Drosophila melanogaster: one gene and its partners. The protein of the gene in region 2 interacts with the protein of the main gene of each other region in a pairwise test. Each region holds a gene or a part of one and is shown on either strand. Other genes may lie near its edges.

Evidence for each region. The genes of interacting proteins can lie anywhere in the genome.
Region 1: the proteins of CG16815 (region 2) and crc come close enough for resonance energy transfer, tested with the Drosophila melanogaster proteins (one study listed by BioGRID).
Region 3: the proteins of CG16815 (region 2) and Atf6 come close enough for resonance energy transfer, tested with the Drosophila melanogaster proteins (one study listed by BioGRID).

Annotation. Positions count from the first base shown.
Region 1 is NT_033779.5:21,306,269-21,315,245, reverse strand, and holds the start of crc (cryptocephal), read right to left. Parts: upstream 4,381-8,977; 5' UTR 4,214-4,380; intron 4,054-4,213; exon of another isoform or gene 3,715-4,053; intron 3,494-3,714; 5' UTR 3,372-3,493; coding exon 3,203-3,371; intron 3,149-3,202; coding exon 3,038-3,148; intron 887-3,037; exon of another isoform or gene 350-886; coding exon of another isoform or gene 269-349; exon of another isoform or gene 1-268. Other genes in the region: CG46314 (uncharacterized protein), read right to left, coding at 269-349; mondo, read left to right, coding at 6,459-6,958.
Region 2 is NT_033779.5:13,225,927-13,233,025, reverse strand, and holds CG16815 (uncharacterized protein), read right to left. Parts: upstream 3,195-7,099; 5' UTR 3,121-3,194; coding exon 2,542-3,120; 3' UTR 2,477-2,541; downstream 1-2,476. Other genes in the region: Prosalpha6T (proteasome alpha6 subunit, Testis-specific), read right to left, coding at 49-918; CG16813 (uncharacterized protein), read right to left, coding at 4,619-5,173.
Region 3 is NT_033778.4:5,140,057-5,149,112, forward strand, and holds the start of Atf6 (Atf6), read left to right. Parts: upstream 1-4,676; 5' UTR 4,677-4,774; coding exon 4,775-4,802; intron 4,803-7,109; exon of another isoform or gene 7,110-8,122; coding exon of another isoform or gene 8,123-8,144; coding exon 8,145-9,056.

The DNA.
Region 1 (8,977 bases), 8.1 Mb from region 2:
ACAAATAAAAAGCTGGAAAATGGGTAGGTTAGGCTGGTATAAGTTCACCACATTTTCTTATTAAATAAAAAACAAAAACGGTACGTGGTAAAAACGGTAAAAACGTGGTAAAACGTATATGAAAAGTATTAAAAGTTTTAAATTGCATGAAGGGATTTGAGTGATTGGTTTTTATTGTGCGTCTGTCCTTCGGTTGCTGGATTTCTGTCCGTAGGATTCAACTGCTGCCGCAAAGTGGTCGGCGTGGTTGAAAATCTGAAGTTCCTGCTTAGCGTCGTTTAACCAACTTTTGCGAGTTTATCACAATTTCACGGTTCCACATGTAACGGTATCCACAGTGTGGTATCATGCTAACAAAGTCCTTGGAGCCCGCACTCGAACTTTCAGGTGGTCGCGATTGTCCCGTGAATCTGCAGATTTTCCGAGGTTCGGCTACATATAGTTTCCAATCGATGATCACCTCAAGTGGAATCTAGCCGTTTTGTTTTCCCCTGTGGCTTAAGTTAGAGGTGCGAATGGCCTTCGCTGCCAGCCAACTTCACAAAGTGGGAAAGCGGTATCCGCTTTAATGCTCAATGCAAAGATTCTGCACTTTATTTTAAATGATACACCAGATTTCCTTCATATAAATTATTTAACACATTTTTAATAATATTTTTATTTTCGATTGGCTTTTTAGCGTTTATAAAACGCGAAGACCTGTGCTTGTGTGGTTACTGCCTCTCTTCTTATTTGTTATTGTATTGTTTTATTTTAAGCCGTTTTCTTTGTGTTGGTGAGTAAAGACGTATATGTTCAAGACGTGTGAAATGCGGGGCGGCAATCAAAGTTAAAGCCGAGATTCAATTCGAGCGCTCGCGTCTGAGTAGCGAATTGTACTGAGTACCGACTGGAAACCGCGCATGGTTTTTGCTCGGCTAACTAGCGGGCAAGAGCGAGCGAGCACCACTGGGGAAGGCAGCGAAGCTCAGAGAGCGCCCTGCATTAAGATCAATCTGTTGGTTTATTTCGAGCCCGAGATGCTATCAGCTGAGACAAGCGGACAGTCACAATCTGCGCCAACGGACTCTGCACAGTGGTGCAAATTTAGGTGTTTTGTTTTATTGATCTGTAGCTGAACAAAAATGAAAATAGCTGGGAATTTGGAATCTGGTTTCTGAATATTTTTCCGTTTAACTTTCGTTTACTTTATGTCAAAATCAATATTTTACCACAGCATTGCTCAGCCCTTTTAGTTCTTCAAAAATTGCATTTCTAAATTACACAGGTTTTCTATACAGTATTATCAACAGCTTGCAGTGTGCACCTGACCAGTCAGTAACTTTCCACCCTTGACAACAATCAAGTCTCTGTGCAGGTTGCTCTCAATTTTAGTTGGAATAAAGATTATATTACTGAGAAAAATTCAGTAAAATTGAAACTCCACTTTCCATATGCATTACACAAACTATGTACAATGATATACTAAAATTATTAAAGTATTAGCAGAATCGTTCGTATATGCATATATGTACAATATACATGCTTGAGATGTTAATAGTAGTAATCTCCCAGCATCTTGAAATAACCAATATAACTTCATCTCCTTTTATTTAAAAGGTATTTATAAAAATCTACCTGAATGAGCCTTAGTGACAGTCTCAAAACAGGGGGCACGTCATCCGTAAAAATTTACATTTCAAACAAAGAAGCTTCCTGATCGACCGAAAAATACATACCAAAATTATGATGGTCATAATGTCAAATGGTTCATTGATCGCAGATACTTAATATATTTCACTAACAAAACATACACTATAAGATTAAGCTTTCAAAAGGGGCAGAGTCATAACCACCAGAGAATGGATCGAGTTCCTACCTTTAAAATCATACAACCCAGCTGTTATCTATTGAATTCTTAATGTATTACCCGAACGTCAGCAATGAGTCGAGAGAGATTGCTACAGAGAGAAGAGAGAGTCCAGCCGATCACTCGCTTAACGCGTGATCAAGTACGCAAAAAACCGATCAAAAACTGATTTCATTGCTCTCGCTTGATCTGAGTCTTTGTTGTGGCCTGGAAATTGGCCATTACAGCGCTTGCTTGGCGCTCCGTTGATAAACAATAATAAAATGCACGGTGAAAACCATAATACAAAAACACGCTCATGCTCAAGCTAAAGAGGGCCAAAATACCAGAAACATACGCTAACGAAAACAAAGCAAACTTGAAACCGGTTCCTCAACTTTACCTGTCGGAATTTTAGGTTCAAATGCGATGTGCGAGACCCTAATGACTCAGACAATGAAATCCACTTGATCTACACTAATTATTAAGAAAGAGCTCTATACAACAAAAGTTGAGTTTTAATATTTATATAAAGATCTTTTTTGCGGGAATTTTGCAGACGTTCAAAGCTCCTGCAAATATCTAAATATTTCATTTTTACTGATTTGCCATAGGTGTATTTATTTAAGATATTTGTATCTAATTGAAAACTCAATTTATTAAAAACTTCTAATATAAAGATCCGGACAATTTAAGGTTCTCAAATATTTTTGGAATATCAATAGAAATGTAATCCCTTTTTCAAATAATTGGTCGTGAGTATGCTTGCTTAATATCAACTTTCTAGCTCTTGTTGTTCCTGAGATTTTGATTATCACTCGGACATGGCCAAATCGACTCGGCTAGTAATTGAATAGAGTCGGAAAAGCTTACTTTTATTTATTAGATTTCAATGAGCCTAGTTTCCCATTGATCTACGAGTATCAGGCATAACTACCAATTATCTTATCATAGTAATCATAGTAACGGTCTTTGCTTTAATATTATGAGCTTCAAGTTATAAATAAAGTTATTTTGGACTTTGAAAAATGTAAGACTAGCAAACATTTGGGTGCTTTAATAAGAACTCTAAGAGGTCGTTCTTATGGGTTTAAGACCTCCTCGCAAATGGGTTTATCTACATTTTGCGCTCAGCTACAGTTACAAGAACATTTATTATTTTACATTATTATTATGTACAAAAAAGTAAGCACACTAAAATATACCTACCTTCATCTTTCAGGTCAAAGATCTCCACAACCATCTCCTCATCACTAAGCAACTGGAGAGAAGCTACCTCTTCCAGGGTCAAGGCTTCATCATCGCCAATAAGAGTAATGCCTTAAATTAAAATCCTTAAAAATCCTTTCAAAAAAACTTTTAGGCACCACAAACCATTTGCAAAGTTATCGTCATACAGCCACTCCGTATCGTTTGAGTCAGTGAGCGGAAACAGATCGGAGCCCAAAACCGATGTTGGGGATTGTGGCTCCATCTTGAGGTCCCAGTACAGCTCCTTGGGCAACTGCAAGCTCTCCATGGTTTGGTGAAATGTCGCGTCCATATCCAGAGTTCAAATCAGGGGTCAAAGATATGTTTTGTTTTGAGAGTATGAAATCCGGTCCGAAGAATGAGAATGGTTGTTTTCGCGGTGTGTTTTGTTGTTGTGAAAATGCCATGATGGCGCTGAGAATTAAAGAAACGAATTAATTATGATTAATTGGTTCGCTGTTCAGCCCACAGCTGTTTAATGACTTATCACGAGTCATAGTGATAATGAATAGTCGCTACCCTTTTAAAAACACTTTTAATCATTTTACTGTACCTCTTATATTCAAATTAATCTAAGGGTAGACTACATTCATTGAAAACTATGAAAGATAAATGTATTTTTAACATTTTATTACCAAGAGTCAATATTGCCGTGTCCACCACCAAAAAAGTTGAGATTAAGCACGCAAATTTTGATTTTAATTTTCTTTTTGAAAACTTCTTTCTCCCCTCTAGCTTAGTAATATAGTAATTATGTTTTAACATTTTAGGTAAATATAGAATGCAAGGGTAGAGCTGCAATCGCGCAGCCGGTTTAAACAGCTCTGTCCTGGGCTGTGTCCGCTTGGGGTAGTCCTTACTGTGGTGAGTCATCTCATTTTCGCACGTGCAGGCGACTTGCAACGCACATTACTCAACTCCAGTCGGCGATTGCGTCAGCCAATTTCTTTACCTTTACCAGGTGGCATGCCCCACTGAGTTTTGATTTGCCACGTTCGCCCGGTCAATTGAAAATCCATACAAGGCAATGCCACCAACACACGTGCAGCAACAATGAATGAGTAGAACGCCAAGTGCGGCAGTGTGCGTGATAAATTGCGAAATTAGCGAGAATTTAGCTTGGTGTATACTCACTTTTGATTTTTATACGTTTCCATTTTGTTGTGTTTGGGCACCTAGGTGCTGCTTGTTTTTGCTTGCGCGCAAACTATAGAGCCATCTTTAGGTTAATATAAATGCCGAAATCGTGAGAGAAAATAACAATTGAACCTTTTTGCGTTTCATTTGGAACGGTAATGAGTGTTGGAATCAGTGTTACCAGATCGGGAAATGCCTTGCTACTTTCTACTAAATAATCCCACCCCTTTTTCTCACAAATCTAAAGCGCACAAAATCATTCGTAAAGTATTATTAAATGACTATATAAAAATTTTGAACTGAACAGCAATTTCATTAAGAACCTTCTAACAGTACAAATGAAAAAATTCTCTGAAAGTATAATGTCTAATATAAGCCCGAGAAAGGTATTTAAGCAAAAGAACATGGGAGTGCGAAATCCTCTAGTCTGCTGATAAAGAATTAGGCAGTTACACTACTTTGTAACAAGGTGTGCAGTTTGAATACTTATTATTAAATTTTAACCGGAACTAATTCAATGTTTATCGATAGTTTTTTGATGTGTGATCACTAATTTTATTCTGGGTATTCTATTCTCTAACTTAAACAATATAGTGAACATAAAGGGAAAATATCCATTTTACATAATTTTTCCTAATTACTTAAGCACAACAATGTTTAAAAAACACATTACATTTGAGTATAATATATGTATATATTCTAGTTTTTCCTATTAGTCTCAACGCATTAACTTTTTATTGATGCGGTTTCAAGGTGCTGTCGGAAAAAGATATAATAGCAATTCCATAAAACTGGAAACTAATTACGGGAAATAGCCGTCCTAAATTCATTGTATTGCAATTTCGGAGCAGGAAACATATGACCTCGTATGCTGCCCTTCCCAATCTTTACGTTTGGGGTGATTATGCTCATTCTTGCGTTTTTCGGCTCGCAGCTTTCAGCCATTTTTAGGAAGAGGGTGCTGTTTATCAGAGCCACCAAATGCTTGACAACCCTGATGGGATGGTGAGGGCTCGCTACCCGCAATAGGTTAATGTGTGCTATATTGTGATTAAACTACGTAGAAGCTTTGTGTTGCGCGTGTGTGCGTGGTATTGGTAGTCCGTCGTGCCTGCTAACTGCCCGTGTTTCTGCTATAGGGGGCAGTTGCAGTTGTACCGAAATTGTGGTGCGCGTGCATGCGCGTGTATATGAGTGGGAACGGAAAAAGGCAAAATGCAAAGGCAGCGCTGAGCCAGAGGTCAAAAGTGCAAACACAGAACTGCTTGTGGAGTGCATACTCTGGATGGCAAGGCCGAATGCCAGGAGTCAAATCGACTGAGCTCCATATAGTAATAGTGGAGAGGGGGACAACATTGCTGCCTGACATCTGCGCATATAGAAGAACACGTACATACATACATATACATATGTATGTACGTTTTCCTAGCTGATAAGCAACGCTAGCGAGGTAGGGAGAGAGAGAGATTTCGCGTCAGCTGTTCATTGTTGTGTTGTGTGCGGCGCACAGGTTATGTGCGTTTCGCAGCTTCGTTCTCCGATCAGTTCTGTTTGTGGAATGAAACCGATCGTTCTGCGCTGGTTCTGCCCGCCTTGTTGGCCTTCCATCAGATCCGCGTGTGTTTACGAGTAGTTGGGGCTTCACTATCTGTTCAAGGAGCTACAAGCGGCCACTGACGTCTCGTTCTGACGTCCGTATCCCCAGCCAACCCCGCCGCGATTGTGTGTGTGTGTGTGTGTGCGAAAATTGTTGTTATTGTGCTGTGTGACGCATATAACGGCAAAAGCGGGGCGTGTTTGCCATTAGAGAAGCTTCGCTCCGGAAAAAGCAACAATTGGACAGGTGTCGATGACGAAAAGCTGAAGGTGTCGGGCATTGTAAACAAATCAAAATCTTAAAACCGTGCTATGTCTCTATCAAATAATCGCTTATTTTAGTAATTTAGTTAATAGAATGACAAGGACAAACACTAGATGAGAGAATTAATAAATGTGTTAACCACGAGGCAAGACAAAACATATTTTTTTTTATAGTCTGCGAACGTTTACATATTTTGAAATGATGGAAAAACCCCATCCAAATTAAAAAAGGGTCAGCACCAGCTTTTAAAAGCCTTTACTACGCGAGAGACATTAAAAAACCATTAAATGTGCCCTCGCCATATCGACATAATCTGCAACCGCCAAAATTTTGGCTCAACAGTAAACTATTTGCATAGGCATCCCCTGGCACCTGTTGAAAATGATGCTGAATAAACACGAGGGATACCAACGCACAAGCCAAATGTTTCCCCACCAGCAGCACCAGCTGCCTCAGCTGCACCAGCAGCCTTATCTGCAACAGTCTCTGTGCCAAAACTTCCAGCAATTGCAGTACGAAACGGGAGTAGGTGCTTCGGCGTCAGGGTCCGCCGAGGCTACGGCAGACCTGCTCAAGGCGGAGCGGGAGTCTATCCACTCCGGCCAGTTTATGGTCTCGCACTTCGAGGCAGAGGAGGCGCAGGACGACCTAGAGGATGACGGCGAGGTGAAGATGCTAGACCCTGAGGACCCCGGTCTGGGCAAGCCGGGCGAGCCAACCAACACATGTCGTGACGTGCAGCTTTACGTACCCCAAACAGTGGCCCACTTCAGCGCCATGGACCAGGAGGGCGACGAGAGCAGCATGAGCATGGTGACCTCCCACCTGGAGATAGAGACCTCGCTCACCAAACTCTTCAAGTGCATGAATCTGGCCTACAGGTGAGTTGAAGACTCGTACTCGAGACCACAACCGAACACCGGGGCCCTGAAGATTTATGAAATGTTGTTTCCCGCTTGTTCACGCGTTTCGAGCGTGATAACGCTCAACTGGCCAACGAAAATCCAGCAAACGAAAAAGCTTGGACCGCTTCGGTCCCATAATCGCGGCACATGTTGAGACGTGACGTCGCTGCTCAGGTTACTTTGGCCCCACATTGCCTCAATCGCTCCTCTGCCACCCTTTATACCCCTCTTTCTGTTACTTCTCCCATTTCTGCAAACGACAGCGCAATCATAGAGAAAATATTAAAGTATTGCCAAAGCAATATCAGAATGAATTAATTTTGCAAAATGAAATGCAATTTGCTTACAACATATTATTATCTGAGACCTTATCAACTAAAAATCTGAATTGTGAAGCTATTGTTTTTTGTTTTTTTTTAAAGAACGAAAAGGATTTGTTTAAAAAAAGTGTTATACAGTTTTAAATTTTAAATTTGTTTGTTATAATGATGGTTTTTAGTCACTATAAAACAGCTACGGTAGTTGTTTGTATGATCCATATATATACGCGTATTGTTAATAACTACGAATTCGGATTTCCTTACATTTTTCACGACCATGTGATTTCATTGTTGTTTTTCACTAAGTGACTAAGTGCTCTAGGAGAGTGTGCGTTCTCCTGGATGCGCTTTAGCGACTACAATATACACGAGGAAAAATATAAATTTAAATTTATAACATGCTTCATTTTGCACGCCCGCCGGTTGTTTTGATGGTGTTAAGTTTCGATGGAAAGACATTTCCAAACGCTTTTTTTGTCTAAATAACATATTAAAAGAGAGAACAACGTAATTGTTATACGCTTCTACTCTACGATTCTAGATACTAGATTAGTTGAAAAGTATGCAACGGGCGTTTCCGACTTGATCAGGATCTATAGCTGGGTCAATCTAGCCATGTCCGCCTGAACGTCGAGATCTCAGGAACCCTATAAAATCTAGAAGTTTAGCCAAGTTAAAACCGCAACTTTGTTTAGCCATGTTGCCACGCCCACTCTAACACTAGCTGAAAACTGTCACGCCCACACTTTTGAAAAACGTGATCATATTTTTTCACATTTTTATTAGTCTTGTAAATTTCTAACGATTTGGAAAAAAATTGTTTTCCACGCCCACTCTAACGCCCTAAACCGCCCAAAACTGCCACGCCCACATTTTTGAATAATTTTTTCATTTTTTAATTAGTCTTGTACATTTCTATCCATTTACAACAAAACTTTTTACCACGCCTATTCTAACGCCCTAAAACCGCACAAAACTGGCACGCACACATTTTTGAAAAATTGTTGGATATTATTTCATAATTTTAAATTTCTATCGATTTTCCAAAAAAACTTTTTGCCACCACCACTCAACGCCATAAAGCTGCCAGTCTTTAGAACAATTTTTAAATGTATTCTCATTTTATTCCCCAATATCTATCGATATCCCAGAAAAATTTTGAAATTTGGCGTTCGAATCACTACCTGAGTAACGGGTATCTGATATTTGGGGAACTAGACTATAGCATTCTCTCTTGTTTATTTTACTTTTTGCTGTTTTTTTTTTTTTTTTTTGAAGCGGCTACCCATTTTAATAAAATTTAAAGTTTTGTTTCTCTTCTAATTCCATGATTTTTAATACACAACATTCATATTTACATATACATATTTAAGTCCAATTCGGGACAAGTGCCAGTGGGAATGCGAAATCAAAATTGCATCATTTTTCTACGATATCGATAGATATTGGGGAATAAACTAAGGAACAAATTTCAAAATTGCTTAAATGTTTCGCATGATCGTTTTGTAGATCTGAGAAGGGGTTTTTGATATACCATAATACTGGCAAGACAAACCATAAAACGAAGAAAAATCTAAACATTCTTCAAAAGTGTGGGCGTGTCAATTTGGGGTGGTTTTTTGACTAATAAACTTATGAAAAATATCCAAAAATTTTTAAAAATGTAGTCGCGGCA
Region 2 (7,099 bases):
AACAATAAATTTAGTATACTCTGTCAGGGTTTCTAATCACAGATTAGATCAATGTGCGTCACTGCCGCCGGTGGATGCAGTGGTTTCCATGTCAGATGTATCATTGGGTGGAACTCCACTGCTACTCGGTCCGTGGTCCGTCATGTCATCATCGCTCATTCCCTCCTCGGATAGAGGATCGTGGTCCGCCTCCAGAGGTGGATCCATAGCCTTGACCAATTTCACATACTTCTGGTTCTCGGCTTCCGTAAACATTTTAAACGGCACATCCTTGCCCACAATGGCCACATTTATGGTGAGATTCTCGACATCATCGGAACCCAACGATCCTCGAATGGCCTGAATGGCATGACATATCAGTTCATCCATGTCGCAGTCCTCGAAACTCTCCATATTTCGCTCCAGATATGTGCGAGCACTCTGCGAACGAGATCCAATGGCCATTGCCTTGCAGTTGAGCACATTGGCCGTGGGCATCACCTGGTAGATATGTGGTCCCTGCTCATCGTATCCAGCCACCAGCAAGCCCACACCGTAGGGACGACGATCATAGCGCTGGGTGGTGGTCTGCAGCTTGTTACCCAGATTGGAAACCAAACGGCGAACCGGAAATTCTGCGTTATAGGAGTGCCGATATGCCATGCACTCCGTCCTCATGTACTGGCACACCACGCGGGCATCTGCCGTTAGTCCTGCGATAGACATACCCACGTGGTCATCCACCGGCATGATCTTCCGCTGGAGCGTGTTCGTGTCCTTTGAGGTGCGGCACAGGGCGGCCAGCACGGCATAGTCGGTGCCCTTGAGTCCCACGGTGGCTGCTCCCTGTTTCACCGCCTCCATTGCGTACTCCACCTGGAAGAGACGACCCTGCGGACTCCAAGTGGTTGTGTCGTTGTCATACTGATTCCGGAACATGGCCAAAAGTGTGAATGAATTCAGCGAAATAACGTTAGCTTGTTAGTTGCAAATTTGTCTAGCTTGAGTTGAAAGTAATTGAAAACTGATATTAATTTCAAGGGTTTGCTTATTCATAGAATTTCTTAAAATATTTACTCGTGTAATTGTTAATTAATCAATTTGTAATGGCCAATTCTAACTAATTTCATAGAATGAGGTCACAAAGAAAGGGTTTCGATGCATACCAAGAGAAAAGCCAATTGCAATCCTAACTTTGCTTTCACTCCAGCTAACTTGCATAATGCCTAACCATGTAGAAAATCAACGGTCTATGAGGAAGTTCGGGTGATCCGATGGAAAAAACATAGGCTGATGTTCGTCACTGAGTGCACCCGCCTCATATGCAGCCAACTGCATCGGGCTGTGAGTGAAAAATAGGAGCTATGATTTAGTCGAAGTATTCATGCTGCCGGGGAAGCCCCCTGCACATAACATAATTAACTCTTTTGGCGATTGCGCAATCGCTGTGCGCGAGCAGTTAATTACTTTTAATTTTCATTGATAGTACTTGTGGCAGTCCGACTTCCTATGGCGCAAATTTCCGTCGCAACTCCAACAACCCAGTAAACCACTTTGCACTTGTACCATGCAGCCAAACATCAATTTCAGTTAATTGTTGAGTTTTTTTTTTTGTGGCTGCATTTGGTTTTTTTGTTTTTGGCTTTTTTCTTCTTTTTTTCCAACTGGCCTAACATTGAAAATTGCATTTCTGCGCTTCGAGCTGTGTGTGCTTGCAAAACTCCGTCTCACTGGCCAATTGAACTTGAAGCTTTGCTTGGACTTTGTCTATATCTCCATATCGCCACATCCGATCTCTGTCAATATCATTAGCCAACAATCCACCGCGTTGAAGGCGATGCCAAAAAGCTTGGCCCAGTCCAAAATGTGGTTCTTTGTGGCGGGTTTGAACCTTGACGAAAGCCGCCACGAAATGAGAACGCCATGAAAATTAGCTAGACAACAATTAGTTGAACTTTGCTGGGTAATGGCACTCTGGGTAAATGGTTTCTCGGAAAAATCTGTCAATGCTTCGATGACTCACTTACTCCAGTGGTCAGACAAGTCACTGGAGTAAGTGGTTTTTGAGCCCTTGATTGAGCCCTTTTTTACCAAAAGTCATATCAAATAATAGATAATCTACTTTTGATAGCAGTACTTTTAGTTTTATTGAGCTAAAAATTATACCATAAATTTTATATATTATGATCACGATTAGGTTGTAATTAAATTAGAAATGATAATTGATCTCTTAATCATTTTATATAATTTTACTATTTTTCAAGCCGGTGGGTTAACTTAAAGATGTTTAAAATCCTAATATATATAGCATTATTATACATATGTAAAAAAATGTAATGGTTGCGATCCACTGACCTCCTAACAAATTTAACAATCATTTTAGATTAAATTTCGAATTTTCCAAGTGATAACCCCCAGTTAACAAAACCGGCAATTTAAATTAAATGCATAACTTTTGATTTATTTCAAAGTCAACAATAAATATTAATAATTAAGGCTTAATAAACTAAATCACATGATTGGGCTATCCATAGTCGCTGATTATGATATGATTTTGGACGGTCAGCAGTGCTGGCCACCAAAGATGAGCATCTGCTGGGAGAGGGCCATCTGCTGGAGGAACTGTTGTTGCTGCTGCGGCAGGATGTGACCCGGTGCCGGATTTATGGCACGCTGGAACACCGCCTGTTGGAGGATGTGGCGGTAGTATAGACTGAGGCGCACCTGCTGTTCCAGCATGGCGGCATGATGACTCCGATACTGCTCGTACTGCTGACCCACTTGCTCCTCCTGTGCCTGCTTGGCCCGCCGGCTGAGTAGGCAAGCCAGCGTGTTTCTATCGCGGCGCATCTGCTCCTTGGGGCTTCGCTGACGATTGGTGTTACTGCGGCGCACCATGTTGGCACGGTACTGGCTGACCGAGGATCCTGGGCCACTGGGTTTCGCCGCCGTTGACGTCTCCTTCTCCGCCTGTTGGTTCTGCTCATTATCCAACCAAGGTCGGAAGAATCCCTGTGTCTGACGGCGCTTGAAGATCGGCTGTTCCGACTGCTGAGTTTGGTTCTCCTTGTCATGGTCCACTTCCCGTTTCCGCTTGCTGACGGCAAACTTCTTGTGGGTGTAGCTCGATGAGTTCTCCATTTTTGTATTTCGATAATATGACTCCGAATGAGTTGTGGTGATGATGTGACTCGTTGGACGATCGCTTGCTGAATGATTGGCTTCGAGATTGATATCCTGGTTATAAGCACAGTAGGTAGGCGGTACAGGTAGCCACATAGGGAAATCCCTTTGTTTTGGGTCTGTCAACAAAGGGATTAGCGCATCCATTCCGCATTAGGTAATCTCCGTCCTGGATTAAGCAGCATATTTTATGACCTGCTCTATCACAGCGCTAATTGTCGTCGCAGGATTGCCTCATTATCCTTTTTTTGGTGTGTGGATTACCTGGATTATCGGACAAATGTGGCCACCGGAACAGGAAAGTTCTGGACCGAACAACTGTTATGCAGGCGATGCATTTTTTTATTGACCTGCATGACACAATTTGTTGTGGCACCGTGTGTGGTCCCTTTGGCTCCTGGTTCCTCAGCACACTTTGTTTTAATTCCCTGGAAATTCTCGAGGGTCCTTTGCCGAACACTTTTCCTCTAGAATGACATGGCATTATATGTCCTGGTCGGTGGTTAGAAAAAAGTGTCAAGGATTTTTAAAGACTGCTGACAGATGCGATTTCAGTTTACGGAGAAGGAATTGCATTCATGGAAGTCTTGAGAGGTGAATTAAATATATTTAATCCATTTATTAGTTTAGGTAGTAAAACACGCCTTTAAAAATATTTAAAGAGTTAAATAAACTTCGTACAAACATGTATACGGCATATATCATATATATAAATGAATTAGTAAAACACTATTCGTGTAAATAATTTAGTATATTAAGATTTATTTATCTGCGCAATTTTTAATCGCGGACAACAATATGATGATTTCATTGATGATTATTTAAATATAAAGGCGGATCTTATTGTCACCGTGTTTTAATTATTTTGCAAGCACTTTGTTCGTTCGCTATGCTGATTTGTTTATAAATTAAATAATTAAATCCAACTGAAATAAATTACAATTTTATTCCGTGTTTCCCACAATATGTCACTCGTGCCGAATCGATTCAATTCTCACTGTAGTCTGGCTATGTGAATCACTAGAATTACTTCACACCTTAATTAGCATTGCAAATTGCGCTTCCAAGAAATTAATTACATAAGATGTATTTAATGTTATATAATGGCAGAAAAACCAAGTGAGGTAACTCTTATGAGCTGATGCTTCCGGTCAGTTTTGGTCTAGAACAAATCCTCATGATGTTAAACGGCGGAAAAGAAATATCAGACTTCCAAATAAGATTCAATAAATAAGACCCCGAGTTAGATTTCAATCAATCAGAAACCAACTAAAAACCAATTATTACAAAATTCTATAAAAATTACAAGTTATTTCGATAACAATTAGTGTGTTTATTGTTTAGTCAACCAGATAAATAAATTAAACTTTAAAAGTAATCACAATCACTATTCAGCTTTTCTACAATAAGTTAGGGCGCATTGAGCAGCGCCCAGTCGTTGCACCATGTCCACCCTTCAAGGATGCTGGGTGGTGGTCTGTTGGCGCGGCATCATGTGCCTTGGCTGTGTGGGAGGCAGTGGCTCCGTGGAGGCCATCGCCTGCTGCAGGAAGCGCACATAGTAGAGACTCAGGCGGATCTGCTGCTGCAGATTGGCCTCGTGCTGAATGCGACTGGTCAGGTATTGTTGTTCGATGAGCTGCTGCTGTTGCTGCTGGGAGCGTCGATGGCGCAGGCTGGCCAAGGTGTTGCGATCCCGACGCAGTTGCTCCTGTGGACTGCGCTGGCGGCGCTTGTGGTGATTGCGCACCATGTTAGCGTGGTAGGTGCCATCCACTTGTTGTGGCGGCGGTGTCGATGTAGCCACAATCTTACGTGGCGGCTGTGGTTGCTCCTCTTCCGGAGACTCATCCATCCAGGGTCGGAAGAAGCGACGCTTAGGCTGCGGCTGCTCTGGAGTGCGTTGGCCCGGCTGTTCCATAATGAAGACCACATCGTCATCAGAGTCCGCATCCATGCTGCGCTTTCGCTTCAGAGCTCCAGTGAATTTCTTGTGGTTATAGTTATCCATTCTTGATTAAGAGTAGTGGTGTTCGCTTTGCTGTCTTCGAGACGACTGTGCTGCCCCTCCTCCTGGCCATCCGTTTTATGCAACATTAGGTAACTTGCAGAGCCTCCCACGAAAACGGAATGGCCAAATGGCAAAGATTTTCCCATCACGTACCTGGGGATCACGGTAAAACGGATCAGGTATTTCCCCAACGCATTTCATTCATTCCCTAAAAATGGGACCAAAACTAATCGGCTGCTGTTACCTGAATTGGGAATAGGGAGTTCCTAATCCGCAGGCTGGCAATCTTCTCAAAGGGTGTCATAAACCAGTTGTTGTCCTTGCCTCGTCTGTTTACGTGGCCGACGATTTTCGACGAAATTACCTGTTGTCGGGCCCGAAAAAGGGATCTCTGTGTAGAGGATCCCTGTGTAATCTCTAATCCTGGCGCTCAATTCGTCCAGGCTGTCTGCCGGCCGACCCGCTATTGTTTCGGCTTTCTTTGTGGCACCTGAATAGCAGACATGCTGCAGTTTTCAATGCCCGATCTCGATTCGAACAACAAGCGTTTATGACTTTCAGCTTGGACAGCTGAAGAAAAACCGTCTCGGAGTTTCTGAATCTCCCGGTACATGTACATACTAGCAAACCTAGAAAACCGGCAATTACTGAATGCTCCTCCCTCTGCTCCCTGGTTTCGTGTCTTTGGCATTATGTCGGATTTTTCCGTTTCATTCAATGGTCCATTGTCCATTGATTTATGCCGTCAGGGAACGAATGTATATGTGGTAGATGGTTCTCACATTTCAGTGTTCCTCCGCCTAAGCGGATTTATTTCAGGTGGGCTTGAGACGAGCCCTCCTCGAGGAATCCCAAAGTCAATAAGCAGGAGCGGAGTGGGAGTTGGTTATTTGTTCAGTTGAAGTATTACAGTGAAAGATTGTCGTATTGTTTGATTGTTTTCCTTTTATTATATTGATCAATTTTCATCTGTTCTGGAACGCAGAGAATCGATTGCATTGGGTCCTCCAGGGTAGGTGTTGTTCATTCCTTCAAGGGGAATGACCTTAAAAAGAGCAATAATATCCTACCAGGAAGTGCTTTCACCAATGATACAATTAAAGGTTGTCTTATATAATGTTGTATTAACAGGATGGTGGATGGGAAAATAGATTCCCATATATTTTTCTAAGGAGTAGATCTTTTCAGCGATGGGAAATTTTAGCCTTGAAAAGTTTGCTTTTTTCTGAGAAACAAGAAGGAATTATGTAGATGAAAATAAATAGGTAAAAATGTCTATTTAAAATATTATGATCCAGAATCGAGAATATATAACTTTGTATGATAGCAACGATTGTATCAACTTGCGTCCAGGATAACCTTGTATAAATATACCAAGGATTATTCACTTTGAATGGTTTAGAATATTAAATTAAGTCCAAAGATTACTTTTAAGAATTCACTTAAAAAGGGAATAGAAAAGTTAAGGATATATGTATATATTTTTAAATTCGTATAGTTGTAAAATAGTAAAAGCAGTAGTAAACGTATTTACAATAATGAAAATTCGAACTGCATTTAAATGTATTAAAAATTTTAAACAATAAATAAACTGCTTTAAGAAAAACCTATATGTGTGTGTGTTTACATATTTATGTACTTGTATATCATAAAACATTATCTTTACTAATGATATTTAAAGTCGGTTATAACCCTTATAGTATAATGCAGTATAGCAATATTCTATTGTTTATATCACAAGATTTTCACTTTGAAGGTTTAGTTTTGAAAAAGTATAAAATGAAAACCTTATAGTCTGATTTCATATAGCAATATTTTAATTTCTACATTACCAATCTTTCATGATCGCAAACCAACAAAAAATAATGTTTAATTAATGTATAATAATCATATAGTGAGTGACATATTATAAACAAAATTTCTTGC
Region 3 (9,056 bases), on a different chromosome or scaffold from region 2:
CCAACAAGTCCACCAATTACCAGCGTTCTGGGTTGACCACCAGCCAGCGACGTACGCGACAACACGGCCGCACACTCGACATCTGTTGACCAGACTTCATCTTCGACGACAACAGGAGGAGCTTTCGACCTCAAATGATGGCTAATGAGAAAAGAATTTCCTATTTCCTAGCTCTCACCTCACGGATCACCAATTTAAATTATTCTTTTATTTTGATGAGATGGAACTGATCATCGCCGGTAGACTTCCGACCTTGTTCGTCCTGCGAACAAAACTCAAACTTTGAACTAGCTATCACCTTTGGTAAAACCTGCCAGGTAAGAACATCGGTTGACCAGGGCTCTTGTTAGTTTTTTCTTGTACAACATTTTGAAATTTCTCTAAGTAATTAAATTAAATTTCATTATTTAAGAAAAACACTTTTGGCCGTCCTTTAAATTATTTTTACCTGCCTGTTCAGTTGTACCAGCAGTGTGACCGCCTTACTTTTTGTCGCGATAACTTTTGTCACCTCGAAAATTTTTGTTGCCGAATCAAAATTTTGTTTGTTAAATCTGAGGTGTGGTCAGAAATAAATTTTGTATGAAATAACTAAGTGGCAGAATGATCTTGTGGTGATGTGGAATAAACAGCAATGGACCATTGAGTAAACTATTTTTTCCCTTAGTATATAAAATCTGATTTGATATAAAATAAGGCATTTACGAATTCGATAACCGAACGCATAATATTTTTCTATCTAATATCTGTAATTTGACTTTCTTCGCTAATGTACGCGTACTTATTCTATTAGTTTTTTCTGACAAGTCAACTGAACGGAAGTTTTTGGTGGTTTGTGTGCGTTATAGTTCCTACTTTTACTTGTTTCCTTAATCATAACTTTTTTGCTTAACAAGTGACGCTTCTGCTGGAGGCATAATTACAAAGCTGCTTTCTTTACGGCCAAAGGCAAACTTATAAAATTTTCAACTAATTTGGAAGAAATTTATAATAAAATAAAATTTGATAATGTTATAAAGCGAGTAAAAAAGCTATCAAGCTAAATATTAAAGAACAAGAGGGAGCGATACAATCGGTTATCTGAAAAAACATATCCGTTACTCAGATAGTAAGAGGAGTGCTGGGAAGCCTTAAAATAATTTGGAAGAACAAAAATAAAGTTAAATCTGTTATCAAAAGTGTGGGCGTGACAGTGTTGGTTAATTAAGGAACTTTTTATCGCTACGAATTTACAAGACAAATAATAAAATATATCAATGGAGATAAAAATTCCAGTTCGGTTTGTGGGCGCTAGAGAGGGCTGCTAAAAGTTTTGGCATATCGATAAAAAAAGCAAGTCCAATGATAAAATCGATAATAACTGGAGCTGTTTTCAATAGTGGGGTGACAATTTTGTGGGCGCTTAAGTGAGGATGGTAACGTTATGAAATAACATTTTACAGCGTGGCGGCCGTCACTAGAATCAGCATCTCAAATCTTTCTAGCTTTTAGAGTTCCGGGGCACTCTCTTATACGGACGGACAGACGAACATGGCCATAGCGACTCGTATAGTGATTCTGATAAGGAATACGTATACTTTATAGCTTTTGATTCGCTTTCTACCAAAGACCCTAGAATAACAAGATGCGTAACGCCATACGATTTTTTGGCACACGATTTTTTGGCCGTGGCTCTAGAGGTGGCTCCAGGCTCTCTCGAATTTTTGTTAGAGAGCGAGAGAGCGAAGAGCGCTACAGCGAACAGCTCTTTTCAACGCACAAAGTGATAGCAGACAACTGTATGTGTGCACACGTATGCTCATGCATTGTAAATTTGACAAAATATGCCCTTCACCTTAGAAGTGATCAGCGAAGACTCTTGCTCTGTCCGTGTCACTGCGAGACCAGTTTCCGGAAGAGTTACGGAGAGGTACAACCGTGTCTGTTGGTGCCTTTAGGTTCCTGTGGTCTTTCCACAACGAGTTTTTTGTTCCTGTGGGCGTGAGATTCTCGATGTACCTTAGTAGTGCGTCCGCTTTTGCGAGAATCTGCTTCTAATTATTCTTTGCGCCACGTGATCTGTGCTACTGCCACTCCCTTCGAAGTCCTCGTTTTTCAAGCACAAGCATTTCAATATTCATTCAACTTGTCTTGTTAAACTTTATCCTGCTTACATGGTTGTCTTGTGGAGTTAACGCTTTTACTGCTGCGAAAAGTATTGATTCTATATCACCAGCAAACTGATCAATGTCTTGCTCGGTTGCCAGGGGTTAAAAAAGCCGGTATGGGAACAACATATTTTTTGTACCTCGCCCAGTTGGTCCTATTGCTTGTAAGCCTACACGGTCGCTCCAAAGACACTAGAATAACAAGATGCGTAACGCCATACGATTTTTTGGCACACAATTTTTTGGCCGTGGCTCTAGAGGTGGCTCCAGGCTCTCTCGAATTTTTGTTAGAGAGCGAGAGAGCGAAGAGCGCTACAGCGAACCGCTCTTTTCTACGCATACAGTGATAGCAGACAACTTTATGTGTGCACACGTATGCTCATGCATTGTAAATTTGACAAAATATGCCCTTCACCTCAGAAGTTCTTAGACTTTAAATCTATATTATTTTTGATCAATTGGCACCATGCGAAAAATTCTTGTTTTGCATTGCCTTAACGTTATTATTATTTCAAAATAGATTAGAAATAGCCAAATCTATGTACATATTATCACAAAAATAAATTTTTATTTTTATTTTTAGAGTATTCATCTTGCGGCGTGTGAAAAATTAATAAGGCAATGATTGTTGAGTGCTTGTGTCCGCACTTCGTGCCTCAAGATATGAACAAAGCAAAGACACTAGAATAATTCTAGTTTCTTTGATATTACTTTTGCAATAAACAGTTATCATATTTAATTATTTAGTATATTTATTAAATCATTTGACTTAATATGATGTAACATTAACATTAAAAGTGTTTCAAAAAAAATATTTCGCTTTTAAAAAATTGTCAGATGAGAGACAAATTAGAATTAAACATAAATATAAATGTGTAAACGGTAGCTAATTCGAGCGGCGATTTTAACAAACAAATTTAAAAAGCTTTAAAATTATAATAGTCAGGGCGCGAATTTTTAAAAATTTTTTTATTTTATCATATTGCTAGGAAATTGGCAAAAACTACCCTAATATGTACCATGTAAATTCGTTTCTTCGATCAGAATTGATTTCGGCCCGAAAATCGTCTTCTAGCACAACACGCACACTTATACGCGTTCTCGTCTCTTGTTTTTACTCACACAAGCAAGCAAATTATATTTTTAGATTTCTTACGCTCTAAGCGGGAGTGAGCGGAAAGAGAGTAATTTTGGCCGTCACCAAAAAAGTGGCTGCATAGTGCCAAACCAATGTATGGCCGTTACGCATCTTGTTATTCTAGTGTCTTTGCTTTCTACCTCTTATAGTACATACATGCCTATGAATCTAGTATACCATTGCACTATGGGTAAAAAACCGGAAATTTTTGTATTAATGTAATATTTTTGTGATTGATATTTTAATGCTCCTTTCATTTTTTGATTTCTAAGTAACAAGATAGCATAAAAAAAATGTTTTAAACCTTTTTACGAGTTATCGTTTATTTTTGGCGCACTTTCAAAGTCAGCTGATTCAGAGGTGCTTTGAATTGCGAAAATGGTCGGAAAAAGTTGAACAAATGTGCAGCGTAAACATTGTCTTCATAGCAAATTTGGAGTTTATTTTTAATAATGGAAAAATGGAGCAACAACAAACGCGATGCAGACGCTATTAACAGTTATATTGTGGAAAATATACAAGAGAACTTTGAGACTAAAGAGCAAAAGATTACCAAATAAGCAGGCTGCAGAATAAGGGCATTCAACTCCACTTCTCGTACATGCTGCTTCATTTTCCGGAAAACAACGAAGCAGGCAGAAACGGCCTTTATATTGAAAAAAAGGGAATTGAAAACATACATAATATAAAAAAGAAAATTGAGACAAATCATTCTATTAAAATAAGTGCTGAAAACGCTTTAGCTTTCCCAATTGAACATGGATTTACAAAGTAGCAATATAATAATATAAAACCGCTCAATAAGCATAAAGGATGCGATATTTTCCATCCTTATTCAAAAGTAGCAGAAGCAAGGATGGATAACAAATATAAAAAAATTTTGACTTTTATTTCATAAAATTGGTTTTTGTATCTTGTGTCTTCACTTCGCTCCCACGCCAATCCTTCGCCCACCATCCATCTCCCTTGAAACCCGCTTTCATATGTATATAAATACATTTTTCACTTTATATTCAAGGATTTTTTTGGTGGGCGGAGATGAAGGCGTGGTCAGATCAAAAAATAAACAAAATCCGAAATTCTATTTAAATCTTAATTATAAACATAAAAAAAATCAAGTCGCTATCTTTATAATTGTAATTAATACCAAAATTCCCGGCTTTTTACCCATAGTGCATTGTACTCTACAACTAGTGGATATAAAGCTAAGAAGGTAAAATCCGTCCTCAGTAGATGGTGATTAATAGTTTTTTGTGATAGTTTTGAAACTACTTTTTTATATCGATATTTCTTAGGAAGTCTCAACCGCTCCGACGGATGTGAAAAGTACACTTACTATATAAGCCTAAAATGTGAAATTACTATTATAGTATATATTGATAATTAATATTTTAATGTGCCAAAACGTCGTGTATTTGCTGACGTTTGCTGTGGTAATCAATTCTGGTTCAGTAAACATATTCAATTCGAATTCTATGGCCGATTAGCTATGGACATCAATGAATATAATTTATACAGTAAGTTTCCTTCTCGTCAGTGACAAGCAAAGCAAGTTGAAAAAGTCTTGCCCTAATATCTATTATCAAATTCATCATATGTATGAATATGTGTAAAATGTGAAATGAGTGGCTGGCACCCTAATTTTTTCTGCTTTAGAATCAGCGAAATGGAATAAAAAATAAAATGTATATTAATGTATGTATTAAAAGAAATCGATTGAACAAAGGTTAAGAGAAAAACATAAAAGGGAAGTACGACATACGATATTTGAATAATAAACAACAATATATAAAATTAAAAGATTTCTTAATAATTAAAAATTCGCGTCCTTATCATTACTGTCTATCAATAAATCTTATAATTTGCTGACGCATTGCCATACGTAAAGTGATAGCTTATTTCGTGCAGTTTAAACAGGACAACCTTACAAAAACTTTGTCCCTTTCTTTGATAAGTTGATAATACCATATGTATCTTGCAACAGTGTAATTTTTTTCGATTCCTGCGTAAGTTACTCTTGTATTCTCAAATTTTTGCTATCGGAATGTTTAGTAAACAGTTAACAGCTGTTTAAGCTGTTTTTCAGACAATAGAGCGGCCCATTCGACAGTTTTAATTATTCACTGCAATTAAGTTATTAAATTAAATAGGATTTTTTTCGAACAACACTTTTAGTCATCCTTTTTAATTTATTAATGAATTATTTTATATTTTATAAGTATTTTTATTGCCTGTTTCGTTTCACCAACAGCCTTTGCGATAAATTTTGTCGACGTATGTATAATAAACAATTATAATAATACAACGTCGCCGCAGGAGTTTTGAAAGTATTTCATATTTTTTTAGTCTTGTAAGTTTACAATGGTTTGATATTTTAAATTTTTTCATTTAATTTTTTCCTGACAAAGTTAGCTAATTACAATAACAATGATATAAATAACAATTAAATAAAAATGATATAAGTAACATTTAACTACATAACAATTATGAGATCATCATCTCCTGGCTCTCGTCAAGGGTGACCTGTGGAGCCTTCTGGGTGGGCGACCTTTGTTTAGTGCCTTGGCTAGGATATTTCTATACCGCTCTAACGTGTCGTGGTACCGGCTAGAGTGCATGTTTATTGTCTCGAAGACAGTGGCTAGTTTGAGCTCTTTGTTGTTGTGTTCCTTACGAACCAATCGCAGCCGGTAATCATCCTGGCGATTCTGCTTTGGGGAGCCTGAATACGACGGATTTGGCTGTCGCAGGCCAAGCCCCAGATTTGATAGCTGTACCTCCATATTGGAGCTATAATTTGCTTGTAAATTATCACCTTGTTGGATAGTGACAATTTACTTCGCGAATTTATAAGCCAAAAATGGTGCACGCATACGCATGCTTCGAGAAGGTGAGTCTCCTATCCAGGATTTTTTTTTTAAAATTAATTTATTTATCAAGGCATACGGGGAAATCTTGGAGCCCCTTTGTGTCCTTCTTTTCTATTAATTCAGCCCATTTGGGCGCGTCGGCTAACTATAGTTAGCTTTTTCAAGTCTACAGTAATTTTACTACAATTACATAACAATCACATATAACAAATAGGATTTAAGATAAGCGTCAGCTTCTGCTGACCCTTGTCAAAGGAGATCGGGAAATGAGATCCTCGGTTACCTTCTATTGAGCTTCCTTGGTGGGCGAGGTCTGCTTAGAGCGCTAGCCAGCCGATTTCTGTGGCGCCCCAAGCTGTCATGGTATCTACTCGAGTGCTGCTTTATCTCGTCAAATACCGTTGCGACTTTCAGATCTCTGTGCAGGGTGTTGTTTCGCACAAACCACTCGCAGCCGGTGATGAGTCTTGCGACCTTATTTTGGATAGCCTGGATCCTTTTGATTTGGCTGTCGCATACCAAGCCCCAGATTTGCCACCAATACTTCCAGTTTGGTGCTAAGATCTGTTTGTAAATTGTCAGCTTGTTGGATAGCGACAATTTACTGCGCGAACAAAGTAGCCAATAGTGCTTCGCCACCTTAGCACGTAGGCGCGTTCCGATGCCGGTCACATGCTTGGCATATGTGAGTCTGCAATCCAGAAGCACTCCAAGGTACTTTGCTGCGTTCGGCTGTGGTACGGGGGCTTCCTCGATGTAGACGGGCGGTGGCGTTCTCCGTTAAAGTATAGCAGACGTTGTTGGATTTACTGCTATTGATGCCAATGTTCCAACGTCTTGCCCATTCCGAGAACCGGTCTGCAAAGTCCTGGATACCATCGGCTGCGTCGTGCTCGCATCGGGACCTGTAGGTGACGCACACGTCATCACGCCAACATTGATTTTCCGTAAAGGCTTACATCCGGCTGCGGCATGTCGTGGCTATACAGGCAGTAGAGCAGGGGGCCGAGGACACTACCTTGTGGAACACCAGCTGCCACTTTGTGCTCGGTGGAAATTGCTTAATGAAAGCGCACAGCGAACCTCCTTCCTTCCAGGTACGACTTTAGCAATCCCAAATATGGAGCAGGCAGCGTCTGCTTGATTTTTAGTTGAAGTCCAATATGCCACACTCGATCAAACGCTTCTCGAATGAAGAGGCTGTTACAATATTCCTTACTGTCGTAGGCAGTCAGAATTTTCTCGACGACCCGAGGGAGCTGCTCGACAGTACAGTGGCCAGCACGAAAACCGAACTGGTGCTCAGGGGTAATCCCCCGGGCTTCCATAATCCTTACAATCCGGACAGCAATCAGTCTCTCAAACACCTTAGAAATTGAAGGGAGGAGACTGATCAGCCGGTAGGAGGCGGGCTCCCTTTCCGGCTTGCCAGGCTTGTGGCTTGTGAGCACACATTCGCTGATTTGTCACCATTGATACCATGTTCCAGCGCCTTGCCCATTTCGCAAATGTTGATGCAAAGTCCTGGATGCCATCAGGAGCATCTTGTTCGAAGCAGGACCTGTAGGTGACACACACGTCATCTGCAAATGTTTCCATCATTGACGTCCCGGGTAGGCTGGCGTCTGACAGCGGCATGTCATAGCTGTACAAACAGTAAAGCAGAGTCCCAAGTACATTTTCCTGTTGTACTCCGGCTGCCACATCATGCTTATTTGAGAGAGACGAATGAAATCGAACTGCAAACCTTCTCTTTTCGAGTTTTATTTCTCCTGGCCGATTTCTACCGATATACAAAAAACAATTTGCCCATGCCTCAACACTGTCATGCCCACAGTTTTTTACTATTTGTTATTTTGTAATTTAGTTGAGTAACGGGTACATGATAGTCGGGATACCCGACTATAGCATTTTCTTATATTCCTGTAATATTTTTAAGATTAATAATATTTTATTCTTTAAGACAAATGACGCCATGTTTATTTTCAGACGATTTATCGCTGTTGGGAGAAGTGACTGAAAATAACTACGACAATAATATTGTACACGACATTCTGAACTCATCAGCATTCTACAATGATACATCGTTAGATCTAAGTGAATTAATACCTGATCTTCAAAAAGAAGCCTTTGGATTGCATTTCTCGTCAAACCCAATAACTTCAGAATTTAGCTTGAGTTCCCCGATTTCTGGTTTGAAACAAATTCCTTCAGCGTGTTCTGGTGAATTTAAAAGAAATGTAAATGACAATAATTTTCAATTGGATCTTACCAACAGTAGAAATGATTTACCTGAGCCTAATTCGTCTCCCACAAGAAGCTTAAATCGTTCAAATGTAAATGGATGTTCTAACGAAGAGGCGGTCTATCCACTCTTAGTCGATTCAGATAAGTTTGATCCATTTTTTGAACCTGCTAAAGTTCGGAGCCCCAACAAAGAATTCAACAGCACGATTTCTAATCTATCAGATATAAAAAACGAACTTCCGGAAACTTCCCAAGACTTGGGTTTTAATTCATATAACACTTCAAGGAATAATTCAACTTTAACCAAAAGCTGGCCAATAAATACTGAGCTGAATCTAGATAATCAAGTTCCAAAAACAGTTTTACCTTTGTCAAGGACAATTTATTTACCTTCACATGATTACAAAGGGCTTTTGCCAACAGTGAAATGTAACGGTGATAGAACCTTAAAGAAAAATGTTAATGTCAGGTCTAAGATTTCTAATATCGTTATTAAGAAAAAAAATGCAACTTTTATACAATCATTGAAAGAAAGCACTCCATCACATACAATGGATGATAAGATCTACAAAAAATATCAACGTATGATTAAGAACCGAGAGTCTGCTTCCTTATCACGCAAAAAAAGAAAGGAGTATGTTGTTTCATTAGAGA